Oryctolagus cuniculus: one gene and its partner. The protein of the gene in region 2 purifies or fractionates together with the protein of the main gene of each other region. This does not show direct contact. Links are inferred from orthologs where the notes say so. Each region holds a gene or a part of one and is shown on either strand. Other genes may lie near its edges.

What was found.
Region 1: the proteins of CTTNBP2 (region 2) and STRN3 purify together in Homo sapiens (affinity purification with mass spectrometry; 4 studies listed by BioGRID and IntAct, with this or other methods). This does not show direct contact. The link is inferred for Oryctolagus cuniculus from reciprocal best matches to the Homo sapiens genes CTTNBP2 and STRN3.

Annotation. Positions count from the first base shown.
Region 1 is NC_091443.1:44,438,347-44,445,887, forward strand, and holds the end of STRN3 (striatin-3), read left to right. Parts: intron 1-3,366; coding exon 3,367-3,453; intron 3,454-3,531; coding exon 3,532-3,701; 3' UTR 3,702-5,297; downstream 5,298-7,541. UniProt on the Homo sapiens protein: Calmodulin-binding scaffolding protein which is the center of the striatin-interacting phosphatase and kinase (STRIPAK) complexes.
Region 2 is NC_091434.1:153,385,813-153,393,353, reverse strand, and holds part of CTTNBP2 (cortactin-binding protein 2), read left to right. Parts: exon of another isoform or gene 1-4,907; intron 4,908-5,669; coding exon 5,670-5,873; intron 5,874-7,501; coding exon 7,502-7,541. UniProt on the Homo sapiens protein: Regulates the dendritic spine distribution of CTTN/cortactin in hippocampal neurons, and thus controls dendritic spinogenesis and dendritic spine maintenance.

The sequences.
Region 1 (7,541 bases), on a different chromosome or scaffold from region 2:
TGCATATAGTAACCCATTTGCTCTTTTTTTTTTTTTTTTTTTTTTTTGACAGGCAGATTGGATAGTGAGAAAGAGACAGAGAGAAAGGTCTTCCTTTGGCCGTTGGTTCACCCTCCAATGGCCTCCACGGCTGGCACGCTGCGCTGATCCAATGGCAGGAGCCAGGTGCTTCTCCTGGTCTCCCATGGGGTGCAGGGCCCAAGCACTTGGGCCATCCTCCACTGCACTCCCGGGCCACAGCAGAGAGCTGGCCTGGAAGAGGGGCAACCGGGACAGAATCTGGCGCCCCGACCGGGACTAGAACCCGGTGTGCCAGCGCCGCAAGGTGGAGGATTAGCCTAGTGAGCCGCAGCGCCGGCCACCCATTTGCTCTTGTAATACGTACATAAGGGTTTCACACATGGCCTTAAAGGACTGAAGGAAATTACATGATTTATGCACAGTAGGACACAATTGCAGGCTTAGGATATAGGCATTGTGGCACAGTGAATCAACTACTGCTTGGGACACCCATACCCCATATGGGAGTGCCTGAGATAAGTCCTGCTTGTACTTTTGATCCAGCTTCCTGCTAATGTGCACCCTGGGAGACAGCAGATGGTGGGTCAAGTAATTGGTTCTCTACCACTCAAATGTGGGAGACCCCAATGGAATTCAGGACTCTTGCCTGGCATAGCTCTGACTGTTGTGAGCATTTGGGGTGTAAACTAGCTGATGAAAAGTAGTTCTCTAGTGCACGCATATGCCTTCTCCCTCCCTCTCTCCCCCACTCCCAAGTGAATGAAAATTTTTTGAAAGTTGCAAGTGAGGATTCAGAGTCATGAGATTTGCTTCCATAGTTTACATGCATCTTTATTTCCTCTCCATTTCATAGAGACCCACAATATGGATTAGCCAATTAAAAGGGCTTCAAGTGCTGGGGAGGAGAGAAAAGGTGACTATGTGTGTTTTCTCTTTTCTTCCTCAAGTATAAGAGGAAAAAAGAAGGTGGCAGAGTCATGAAAGTTACTATAAAGAAGTTGTAGGTATTTGTTGATGAAGAAGGGGTCAGGAGCTTTGTGACATAAGTGGTCCCAGTGGAGCCTACCATCCAACTTGGTGTGCAGTATTGCATGAGTATGTCTTCATAAATGGTCCATTTGATGGGATAATACGTTTCGAAGAGATCTTTCAGATTTTTTAGTGACTTTGTGACTCTGTGGACAAGGGTAGACACTGGGTTGACTTAATGTGAGCATTTATTTAGTGAACAGGCAGGAGTGCTAGAGTTAAACTTGGAAAACTGCATCACTGTTGAAGAGAAGAGTACATTGAGTGTTAGACGACAGGTTTGGTTTAAGACATGTTACATTTAGGAGACACTGGATTGTTCTCAAGAGAAAAGTCAAAACTGGGTGAATGAGAGTTACCATCAGAAGCGGGTGTTAACACTCAGCAGTGGATGCCTTATTGGGTCCCAGCTCAGCACACACCAGGGGAGGCAGCAGGAGAAGGTTCAGAATGTGGGTCCGCACCACCCATATGGGAAATCCAGGTTGAGTTCCAGGCTCCCAACTTCAACCTGGTTCAGCTCCAGATGTTGTGGGCCTTTGAGGAGTGAATTAGCAGATGGGAGCACTCTGTTTCCTTTATATTTCTGTCTGCCTTTCAGATAAAACATTAAGCTGATGCCATCATATATGTTATCTTTTGTCATATTTGACCATTCGGGGGAAAGCTAAGGGTGCTTGATATGAAACCCTTAGTAATTGAAATTACTGTCCTGGTGGTCAGTAATTTCATACTCTGGGTTCTTTTATAGGAATATTGAAAATGGATTTCAGAACTCATAGAAGGATCATGTTTTCCTCAGCAGTCTAAAGAAAGTATATTAAGTGAATTTTCCTCAGGCTACCAGAAAAGTTCTAAAACTATCCTATTAATTTTAGTGTTAATAAGAAATAGCCACCTGTGGTTTGAAATAATGAGGTTTTGTTTTTAAGGATTTATATATTTGGGGTAGGTGGTGTGGTACAATAGGTTGTTGAGCCACCGGCTGGGGCTCCTACACCCCATCTTGGAGGGCTAGTTTGAGTCCTAGCTACTCCACTTCTGATAAACCTTCTTGCTAATTCACCTAAGGAAGGCAATGGATAATGCCTTGGAGGCTTGGGTCCCTGCCACCCACGTGGGAGAGTTATAACGAAGTTTCTGATTTTGGCCTGGCCCCACCCTTACTGTTTGAAGCATTGGGGGAGTGAATCAGCAGGTGGAAAATCTCTCTGTGTGTCTCCCCCCCACTCCTCTGTTACTCTGCCTTGTAAATAAATAAATCAATCTTTAAAATATTTATATCTTGGGGCCAGTGCTGTGGTGTAGTGGGCTTTCTCTCCCTGTGGTGCTGGTTTGAGTCCCAGCTGCTCCACTTTCGATCCAGCTCTCTGCTATGGCCTGAGAAAGCAGCAGAAGATGGCCCAAGTGCTTAGGCCCCTGCATGCACGTGGAAGCTCTTGACACCTGGCTTTGGATTGGCCCAGCTCCGGTTGTTGCAGCCATTTGGGGAGTGAACCAATGGACAGAAGATCTTTCTCTCTCTCTCTCTCTCTCTCTCTCTCTCTGTCTCCCTGTCTCCCTGTCTCCCTCCCTCCCTCCCTCCCTCCCTCCCTCCCTCCTTTTGTCTTTAACTCAACCTCTTAAATAAATAAATAAATAAAATCTTTTAAAAAAATGTATCTTCGGTGAAGATAATCATTAAATTAGTTTTCCAGATCAGTGTTGTTAATGTCTGAGGAATCCAGAGTAATATCTTTGACATACTCCTATCCCCTTCTCTTTCAGGCGATACATTTATCATTAACCCATATATAAAAAGTAACTTTTTAATTTCTTATTGAGAAAGATTGTTTTTATTTTGACTTTGGTTTATATGGTTTATATGATCTTGAGCCTTTGACGCAACCCAGTTGTCATGTTTTCCAGTGTCTTTCATACACTGCCAAATTTTGTTACACAAATGAGTATAAGAAGCCAGACACGGAAAACTATCACAGGTTGTGTGAGGCCATTTATATGAAGCAACCTGAATAGCCCAGTCTATAGAGAGAGCAGAGTAGTGGTTGCCAGGGACTGGAAGGAGTGAAGAAACGGGGAGTGATTGCTTAAGGCTAGGGAGTTTGCATTTTTTGGTGATGAAAAAGTACTAAGCCAAGTAGTGGTGATGCTGATAGAATTTTGTGAATGTTCTAAAAGCCACTGAATTATATACTGTCAGATGGTTAGAATGGTAAATTTTATGTTGCATAGTTTTTCTGCAATAAAAACAGTATTGCTGTGCTGTGTTGTAGCTTCGGATTCCTAAAGTTAGTATTTCTTCTTTGTTGTATTTAGGTAAAATGATCCATTCTATGGTAGCTCATTTGGATGCTGTTACAAGTCTAGCAGTAGATCCTAATGGAATCTACTTGATGTCTGGAAGTAAGTTTGAATTTCTTGTACTCTACCCATAAGCTTTATAGAAGAATTGATAGTAATAAACTGCTTGTTCTTTTACAGGTCATGACTGTTCTATTAGATTGTGGAACTTAGACAGCAAGACATGTGTGCAAGAAATAACAGCTCATAGGAAGAAATTGGATGAATCAATTTATGATGTTGCTTTCCATCCATCAAAAGCATATATTGCCAGTGCAGGAGCTGATGCCCTTGCCAAAGTTTTTGTGTGAATCAGCAAAAACTCACATCATAGCAAAAGATTTGCTTGGACAGAAAGAGGGTCTGCATCACTGCCATCAGAAAAGGTTACTGATATGACACTACACGTGATCGGCCTGGGGAAGGCTGTTCGGGGCAGGTCGAAGTTGATGGAAATCACATCTTAATGTCAGGCTCATTAATTTAACTGTAATTAGTGTATTTCATGGGACAAAAGGAAAAAAGGACTCCAGTATTTGTGGCCTGTACTGGATACGAACTGAGCATATGTTCTGTTTTTTGTGTTTTGTGTTTTTTTTTTTTTTTTTTTTAAAGGTGTCTATAAGCCAATGTGGAGTCTGATCTTACAAAAAGACTCTTTTTTTGGACTCTGTGTGCTGCCTTAGGGTTAGGAATGTGGTGCTCTTGTTGGGGGAAGTGAGCTCCAAGAGTAGCTGTTTTTCATCTCTTAGTGATCTTCTGTTTATCAGTTGAATGCCACAGATTCCCTTTTAAACTTATTTTGCTTTAAAAAAAAAAGAAAAGAAAATTTAACTTAAAATATTTTAGCATTAGTTGCACAAAATGTTTGGATAAAATTCTAGTTTTTATAAGTCTTTTTATATATTTAGCCTGTCACAACAGTGCTCAAGATTGTATTGAAGTTTGTCTGCATTATACGCCCCTAAAGCAGATCTCACTGACCCGCTGCCCTGTAACCACTTAACTTTCCTCCTTCTGCCTAATACAGCTCAGCTAAGTCCTTCCAGAAAGATGCTAAATCACCTTCATCGTCATATAAATGTCTTCATAAACCAAGGACTATTAAGTATATTAAAATGAAACAATGGGGTTTAGTACTCCAAAGGAACTCTTTAAAAAGAAAAACTAATCTTGGCATCCTATCACTATGTGATATTTTGTACATCTTACTGTATTTACAAGTTTATTTATCAAGGATTATCCATCTTGCTAATGGCCTATTATTTATTTCACTTTTTGTTGGTCTTTATATCCTTTTATTAATGTGCTAAAGGAACCTGTATATCTATTTTGGAACTCTTTGAATAGTCTAAAATAGACTAAAAATGGAATATTTTATAGTTTAAGTTACAAACCAGGGTGGTTCTCCCCAAGATATGTATCTTGGTTCACCATGATTCCAAACAAAACTATCTTGTTTGAAAATATTTGGAGTAAAATTTTATTTGCATTACGAATAGGACACAAAATAATTGAATCAGGATACAGAAATCTGTGTTTGGACTAGTTTTCCCTGTTTTATTTTTTTAGGTGTGCTTAATTTTATGGTGTAACTAAAGATTTTGTTTGTGTGATGCATGATTAAGACAATAAAGTATTTTTTCTAGTCTTCCAAAAAACTTTTCTGATCAGTTTGCAAGTTTTGATGAGTTTTGTAAGGTTTCTGTTTTACAAACTATGAATCATCCAGTTTTTAAGATTGTACCACATAGCAAACATACAGCTGTTGAAAAATAATGTATATAAAATGCATATAATAAATATTAAATTGTGTACCTGTATGTTACTGTTGGCTACATCATTTTGTGTTGAATAATAAAGTGCAATACTTTACTCTCCATAATTAAACTAGGAAATGGAGATGATTTCTTAGTGAGTCCTTCATTTTTATACTGTTCTTTTATACTTTTTACTGTGTATTGATATTCTAGTAATATTAGAACAGTAATATTAAAAATGCCTTTCTGAGTATTTTACTCCATTTTGGGGATTTTAAAAAAAATATGCTATTAAAATAAGCTAGGCAATTCGAAGTAAAACAGCCCCTCTCTCTCCCACAAAGTCATAGAGATACAGTTTTAAGTAATTTTCTTAGACATCTTGTTACTTTATTAAATCTGAATTTGTTAGTGGTGGTGGTGGGCCTCTGTAGGCACAACTTTCCATAGAAAAGTTCAGCAGAGAATAAACTACATTATTTGTTAAACTTATCCTTATAAATAATGCTTAGTATTACTATCTTGAAACCTTTTCCTTCTGTAAGGTAGAATCATCCTCTTTCTTTGAAGGAAATTTCATATGGGCTCAGAACACTAGAAAAATTGTGTGCAGAATTCTATTTGAATACCTGCTGCAGAAAAAAAAAAGCTACACTGTGTGTACGTTGAGAAATTTTGTCATCTATCATGAAAATCCAAGTAGCAATTTCAGTCATTGATGATGAAACATTAAAACTTCTCAAACATTTTTTTACAGGTTGTTTTCTGAATTAAACATTCAACTAATGAACAAAATAAAGAGACAGTTTTCTCATCATTTTTTAAAATTTGAAGTAATTTAAGAAACTTTTCCAAAGCTAGTGTTGTTGCTGGCAGCTGTTCCAACCCAGTGCATCACTGTATAGTGAAATGTGATTATCACTGCAATGCTTAAACTTCACCTCTCTTGGAATGTATTAGAACTGAAATGGATAAAAATTAGTATATATGTTTATTTTTCTCTTACCCACTTTGGTTGTATTTTTCTCTACAATATTAAACTTTTGGAAGAGACTAAAGGAATACAAAAAGAATGTATTTATTTTCATATTATTTGTATGCTTCCATTTGTGATTTATGGTAAATTATGTAGATTAATTTGACTATTAAATATACTTTATGCATAAGGCTTAAGGTTATTTTTATATACAAATTTAATGTGTTGACTTGTTCTCAGTATGTAATTATATTCTTCTCTTTCATGTTTTATTCATGTTATTTTTCTATTAAGTAATCCACTGAAGACCAACATCTCACTTAATGTATTAAAAGTCATGAATTAGGGAGTATTTTACTCCGTTAGCCCAGCAGTTTAGACATCTGCATCCCACATTGGAGTACCTGGGTTTGATTCCTGGCTCCAGCTTCCTACTAATACACACCCTGGGAAGCAGTGAAAATAACCCAAGTAATTGGGTTCTTACACCCATAGGTGACCTGGATTTTGTTCTGACTCCCTTCTTCAGGACACGAGGAGTAAAACCAGCAAGTGAGAGCTCGCTTGCTTGCTCACTACCCCCCTTAAATAAAATTTAAGTTACAAATGAGCTAGCATATTTGCAATTTAGGTGTGTCAAAACTATTTCGTAAAATGTCTTTTTAAATCCTTTTACCTTTTTAAATTTTTTTAAAGATTTATTTATTTACTTGAGAGGCAGAATTACAGCAAGAGGGAGAAAGTCATCCACTGGTTGAATTCACAAATGGCTTCAATGGTGGGAGCTGAGCCAGTCAGAAACCAGGAGCCAAGAGCTTCCTCCTGGTCTCCCATATGGGTGCAGGGGTCCAAGCACCTCGCTGTCCTCCACTGCTTTCCCAGGCCATTAGCAAGGAGCTGGATTGGAAATGGGATATCTGGCACTTGAACTGGTGCCCATATGGGATGCCAGTGCCACAGGCAGTCACTTAACCTACTAGGGCACAGCACAGGCCCCTTTAATCCTTTTTTTACTATTCCCTTTAGTTGCTAACTCTTAATCCCAGTTATTTACTCATAAAATTTACAGTAACTTAAACTTGATTTCTGCTCTTCAAGTCAATAAAAGTATTAGCTTTCCTGGTTATCTGAGAAGCTTCAAAACTCTGTCCTTTATAAAATTATAAAAGGCCTAATTTCTGGAAGCTAGATTTTCATTAAAGCTTAGTGGTTTTTGTTTGTTTGTTTGTTTTTAAGGGATGGTATCCCTGAAAATTTGTAGTCTGTTACTGGAGAAAATTAAACCCATTTTTGGTTTTAATTGAAAATCTCCTTGTTACATGAACAACCATATTTACTGTTTTTTATGAAGGGGGAAGAGAGTGATTATTTTCTCCTAAGTTCATTTTGTCAAAATTACTAGTCTGAAAGGCAAC
Region 2 (7,541 bases):
CATGGAGACCATTAATTTAGGGACTAAAATCATTTCCCTGGGAGGAAGGAGGGTTCCCTCTTATTAAATGTTTATCTCCCAAGCCTGCAATATTAGTGGGTTCTCAACAGACAGGATGTTTTCAGGTCTGTTTCTTCCAGGATACCACAAAAAATCCTTTTGAGTAATGATAACGCTACCCTGGATGATTGTACTGATTAGATTTGTTCTGTAATTGGCATATACTAAGCTTTAATGTGAGTTTTATGGGGGAGGTTGTTGTTGTTGTGTCTTTTAACCCCCAACGATGGAGTGTGATTATTTATAAATCTTTGTTCTAAATTTAGTTTCTCCCACAAGCCGTATACCCTATGAGGGCTGTTGCCTGGCACCGTTTGCCCACAGATGGAGAGCAGCACGTGGGTTTTGTTAGAGAAGGTTCCCGTTGCAGATGCGGTTTGTGAAGTCACTGTATCTGGGACTCTGGAACAAAGAATGTCAGTTTCTCCCTTGTGCTGTGCAGAGCTGGGGGAAGCATTGCTTTTTTATTGACATGCCTGGATTAATTTGTCACAGAGCAAAGATGCCCCAAAATAACCTGAGAGTGCCAGAGTTCTGTTGAAGCTTGAGAGGTGTCTCTCCCACCATCAGATTTGAGTGCTTCGTGGAGACTGGCGATTCTAATGGCAGGCAACTTAACTTAAAGAAGGGTTGAATAGTGCTGACTTTAAAACTTAGAGGGGAGAGTAGGAACTGGAAAATACCCACTTGATTTGCTTACTCTCAGGTGATTTGAACAGCACATCAGGACTGACCTATAGCATGGACTTTGAAATTAAGTCAGATCTCCCTTGGAATCCAGGCTGTGCCACTTACAACTGCATTGCTGGTGATTTTTCTGCAACTGAGCAAGTTTCCACTTTCTTACTATGGAGCTTGAGCTGCTTTTATGTGGAGGGTGGCTGTTAGGAGGGTCAAATGCTGTAACACATCAGTGAGCGTGGTATTGAGCTTGGAATGACCCAGGCAATCAGTCAATAGAGATGACAGTACTGCTTTGAGGATACCGCTTTGCTTTCAGCATTTTTGAGAATTTGCTTTAGAATTGACTTTAGATGTCTTCATAAGTAGTCAACAATCCATTTTTTTTGTCTAGATGGTATTACTGAGCTGAACAACCTTTATTTTGGCCTAAAATAATATTGTATATTTCTCTCAAGTTAAATCCACCTTCATAAGAGGAGTTGTTTGCTACTGCTCATGAGAATAAGAGCACGTACTATAAGATTGTTAGACAATCACAGAATAGAAATTCTAAAAATGTTTGGAGCAGTGGCAGTGCTAATGACAGAGCTGCATTGTTTACAAAATAGAGAATACTTTTGAGGATGTATGTTTTGGGAGTCTTTAAAAATGCAAACTTATTTTTGCTTTGATGTCTTGAGGCTTTGTCAGTTGTTGCTGTGGTCATTTCTGTGGCTCCAGGTCCAACTGCCCCTTGGGTTCAGCAGAGCAGGATCCGTGACTGACAAGCCAGTTTGTCAAGAGGATTTTCAGTTCACCTTTAAAGACAAAGAATTTTAACCTGATATCTATATTCATCAGAATGATCTGCCTAGGATATCATTGAACTTTGGATAAATAAACCCTGGGTGCTATGAAAATAATGCCCTTGAAATTGGTTCCTTTTCTTCTATTCTCTGATTTTCACATTTGGCCAAAGTGTTCTCAAAATTGCTTGGTACTTACCTCTGGTGAATTGACAGGTGTCCATGGATGTCCTTCGATTGTAAGATCTGGCTTCTTAGGGAGGTGCGGAAGCACTGGAGACTTTAGTCCTTCAGTAAGAGTTTACGAACACCTCATCTGTTCAGAGAATGGAAATTTTTTTACACATTGGGGGTACACAGCTGTATAACAGCCATGGAAAGTTCACGTCAGTCTGAACTTTCCAGATGAGGCACCAGATTCCAAGTCTGTTTTCCATTTAGATTGCCCTTGTCTTTACTACCATTCCTGTTGCAACTGGGAAGCACCAGTGCTCCCTCCATCCTGCCCCTGGACCTGTCTGTGCCTGGGTGAGCTTGTGCTCCCCAAGGGTGTAAGCCCACTGGAGGTATTAACCTAAACAGCCACTGAGGTCATTGTGGCTGTTATGAGCAGGGTGTGGGGAGAGGGCACATCTCCCAAACACCTGGCAGATGTCTGTTTCCATTTTCCTGATCAAAGGAGTACTGAATTCAGTGTAAGAAAGAAGATTCATCAATTTCCTCCCCCTGGAGAACTAATTGTCTCCCTGAGCTATAATTAGCTTTTCTACCTAAAAGTGAAAGCATTGAACCAAAAAATTTACTATTCTTTCCAAACCAAAAGCTGTCTTAAAGTTGGCTGATTTTTCAAACAACACAACTACTAGATCCCGTGATCTTTCCAACTCTAGGGTTCTGTGTGTCTGTACCAGCCAACATCTGTAACGGTTGTCTTAAGTGGATCCACGAGGAGCATTGGAATGAAGTTTACTGAATCATGTCGTGAATCACCCTAACTCTTTGGGCAACATCTATGGCCAAATGTTAAAATTTTAAATAATGTCTTAAATTCAGAATGACTTAGAATTTCTTATTCTTAACTAAACTAGTCAAATGAGCACATTTCAGCTAGAAATGACAGCAGGCAGCTGAGTTTCCATACCCTTGGAATTTTTTCTTCTGTTTTATTATTATTTGACACATTTGATTGAATTTGCTTCGGACACTTTCACTTCATTAAACATGTATTTTTAAAATTATTTGCTATGTAAGATTGGCTTAAAGGCTAAACGAGAAAATAAGAATGACCTGGGCTATGACATTAACCTTCTTCACCCTCTGAAGCTGATGCCAGAAGCTGTTTGCAAGTACTCTTCCATGCCATTGCATGCCCTGTCCATTCCTCCCCTCCTGGCATGCTCTGCAAATGCTCACTCTTACTAATGTTTGCATGCCACGTGGCGAGGCTGAGTGACCTTCCTCTCACATCACTAGGGTAGCTGTTTCAATATAGGTCTGCTCTGCCATTACAGGACCAGTTATCTATATATTACCATTTTGATCATGGATGGGATTTCAGATGAACAGTACAGTCTCATAATGAAGTTTTTCGTTTTTCCCCATATTGATAGCAGGACTCATAAAACTAAGCTTTTCTGTGCTAGAGAAAATTGAAAATTATAGTGAAGATTTAAAATTCATGAATACACAAGAAATATAAAACACTTTTCTTTTATAAAGATTTTTAAAATATATTTTAGTCCTGGCATGTCATCTTCTGTACTTTTGTGTAATAGAAGAATCTCAGACTCTTCACTGATTGAAAGATTGAGAAACATTGTGAATAGACTATTTTATATTTCAGATAAGAACACTTAAAATAAGGTTTCCCAGGAAGTTTTACCATCATTATGTATTTCCATATAAAGCAGTTGAAAATACATTTAAACTGTTCTCTGCAAAAAACCCAGAATTGTGAATAAAGAAAGATGTAAATAAAACCCAAAAGAAGAGCAAACTTTTATATATAAATGTTGGTATTCATAAGAGAATACCAATAACCAAAAACCTTGTACAAGATCAAAAGTCTGAAAGAATGATTGAGTGTGTGTGTGTGAGTGCTGTGTGTGTGTGTGAGTGTGAGTGTGAGAGAGAGAGAGAGAGAGAGAGAGAGAAGGGGGAGAGAGAGGGGGAGAGCATGAGAGCACGTGCCATACTCCTCAGATCCACAGGACCATCGTGCGATGCCTTCCTATTGCCTGTTTGCTTTGCAGTCAAGGTTTCATACCTTGGTGTTTATAATTTCTCTGTTCATCCATTTCTAACAAGTACTGATTTAATTTTTGTGGGCCTGTTTTTTTTGTTTGTTTGTTTTTAAGAAAATACAAAAGGTAAAATGTACCAGAGAGGAGCCTTCTTGTAAGTATGAAGTAAAAGTATTACTTTTGTAAGAAGAGCTAATGAATATCAGTGGGAAAATATCATGCAGTTTAGATTAAATATTGAAATGTTTGGGCATTTTAATTTTGTATGTCTCTACAATACTAAGAGGTTAATAATAATTTATTTGTGAACCCAGATAATTGATTATGGAGATATGATATCTAGCTTTTAATAAGCAGTAAAGTTGAACTTGTATAAATGGTTTTATTTTGTTTTTCATAAAGAATTTTAAAACTCCTGAGAAATTAAGTTGATAAGTACCTTTTAATATTTATTAAGATTATTTAAGGTCAATAATTTAGGATTCATTCATAAGCACTGGATATTCACACATGATAATGCCCAGAATATTGTCCTAATACCACTGTGCAGGAGATATAAACTATCCATAATGTGGGCCTTTCTAAAGGGAATGTTAGCATTTAGATGTGGAAAGGGTGACCAAAAGAATGAATATTTATACATATGCATAACAAAATTACGGAGAGGTGCTGAGGCTCCAATCAGGGCTGGGGAACTTATTTTCTGCCAGGGGCCATTTGGTTATTTAGAACATTGTTCCAGGGCAGCACACAATGATCAACTGAAAAATCAGCCTGCTATTGAATTTCGAGTCCCACCTGTGGTTCCCTTGGCAGGACCAGACCAAATGATTTCATGGGCCATATATGGCCTGTGGACCAGACATCCCCCACCCCTGCTTGGAATAAAGTAAAATGACTTCTTAAACGTTCATTGTATTTCAGCCTAAAATACACAAAATCCAATATATCACATTAAATAAACATTTTTACTTTACTGTTTTTACAGCCTTTTGATCAAGGAAGAATTCAGAAAATTTTCCATGCTATATACAGCCGACTTCACACACTTACCAGATTCCCTTCTAAAGCTGCTAAATACTGATGAGAAATCTCTAACTATGATAACTCTTACGATCTTTGTTGAAACTGTATGGTAGAGTGTCCTGTTTTGTTGACTGATTAAAAGTTTGTTAGTCATGTTGTAAAGATGGCCAGGTGATTTTACAGTCTTCAAAATTGGGTATGGACTATGTGTACCAGTGTATTCTGAATCTACTTATTAAGTGTCGTATTTCTACTAGTTCTTGATACCAGAGAATGGTTGGCCCCGTTATTATTAGTCCCAAATAAGGGAATTCAAGGGATGTAAACAGATTTTTTGACAGTGATTGGACTATATTCATTTATGTGAGATTATTAAGTACTTTAAGGGCCATCACTGAAAAAGGAGAATCTCTATTGCTTACAACTATTTCTGTCTTTTACCTGAAAATGCCAGTTTGCTTTTGCAAATCTATATTGACATTGAGGAAACTTTTACATAATGAAAAGGCTCAAATTGTTTTGAGATCTTGAAGGGGAATTAGACCTTTAAAATGAGACAGCCATCTCAGTTTCCTAAAACCAGTCACCACTTTAACACTGACCTGTACAAAACCGATGACTAAAATAACCTGTCACTGTGTATGCATTAATTTAATTAGCAATGGATGTAAGCTCTGGAATAACAGGACAAATTCATCCTAAGTACATATTAACAGATTGAACCTTCTAGAAAACACATAATCCTCTAGGGATACGTGTCCATCTGTGTGTGGGTATATGTGTGTGTGCGTGTGCAATTCAGAAAGGAACAGGTAATAGCTGTCTCTTGTCCTTGCTCCTACTCTCTAACGAGAGTCACTTTAACCTACAGGCTGGTCACCCTCCCTAACCCCTTTGCTAATGAGTGGTGGTCCTGCCCCCCTGGCTGGCAGGCCCACCCTTCTTCAGCAAGCTGCTGCCCAGGGAAATGTCACTTTATTATCAATGCTGCTTAATGAAGAAGGACTGGACACTAATTACTCCTGTGAAGATGGCCATTCTGCCTTGTATTCTGCTGCTACGAATGGACATGCAGGTAAAACCAGCAGGCTCTCGCCTCTTCATCTCTATACGCAGAAGGATGGGCAGGCAAAGCCCTCGCTACCATTGTCAGGAACTAACATAAATTTGGATTTCAGTATTATCTTAGTTGTGGAGAAATTCTTTTTTAAGGTATTTATTTATTTGAAAGTCAGAGTGATGGGGGACTGTGGGTGGGAAAAGTTTGAGAGAGAAAGATTTTCCATCTTCTAGCTTGCTCTCCAAAAGGCTGCAACAACTTGAGCTAGGGCAGGACAAAGCCAGGAGTCAGAAGCTCCTTTTGGGTGCCCAAATGGGTGGCAGCAGCACAAGTACATGGGCCATCTTTGCCTGCTGTCCCAGGTGCAGCAGCAGGGAGCTAATTCAGATGTGAAGGTGCCAGCATTGCAAACCACAGTTTAATCCACTGCACCAAAATACCAGCCCTCATAGTGGAGAATTTATTCATGACAGTCAAAGTTTTTCTAAACATTAGAAAATTCCAATTGTATACTTCCTTACAGTAACATCTTATTGCAGCTAGCAAAACATAATAATTATTTTATGCACAATGAAATGTATTGTGCACGTAGAAACTTAAAGCCTAGCAACTGCAAAATACATTTTTGAATGAAGCCCTCCATCTGCAATCACTCGGGTTGGACAAAATAGCCCTCATTTGTCTAATAGAAATACCTGATGGGGGAAAAGTCAAAGCATCAGTGCTTAGCACATTCTCCTGTGAGGGGAGATTTTAGTCCTTAGAGAACGTCGTTGGTCTGAAATTCTATAGTTGGAACAATTTGGATTTTTTAAGAGAACCAAGAAGTTATGCATCTATAAATGATATATTCAGGAAGACTAGGAATTATTCATTAAAATGCAAATCCTAAAGTTCCATGCACTGGAACATATGGTAGTAAAGAAAAATAGGTTTTCGTCTGCAAAGTCAGATAGCACTGCATATGTGAGCCATGTGATTGTTGATTAATTCAGATAGAAAGAAGATTCTAGTGAGCTTAGTGAATTCATTATTTTTAAAGTTTTTTTAAACTGTTCCTGCCAAAGCACTGCAGGATGCAGAAATTAAATCCAGTAATTAGCACAAGCAATGTTGTTTCTAGGTGATATTTTTGCCTGACTTCAATGATTTTCTATGGGCTTTCCTTTAGCTTCGTTTATGGAGGTATATACAGGAAGGGAAACATAAAAAAAGCATTGAATGATGAAGCTAGACGTTCTGAAGTAATACTTTAACTATGTAATTACAAAGAATGGTATTTCAATTTGGTAAATGGGCTTGTTTCTCTGTCCAAAAACATTTTCTGGGTAGGCTGATGGAAAAAATCTGGTAAAGCATTTTCTGGCACATGACATTCCTTTTTCTCATCAGCAACTCCTCCCAAAGCACTGAGAAAAGTCATGTCTGAGTTGGTGAGTCTGGGCTGTTAGTCTTTGGGAGTGGAAGCTACCCGCCCTGTGTAATAGTCTGTGGCATCTCCCAGGTGCCACGATGGGATGGTCAGATGAACTGAGCAGGGGAGAGGCCCTCTGGGTTTAGAACCTATGTGCAGCTTGCGTACAACTTGGTCCATTCTAACTCTGAATGGGAAAATGAAATGACTTTGCATTGAAAATCCATAGACTGTGTGAGATTGCTGCTGAATGCAGAAGCCCAAGTCAA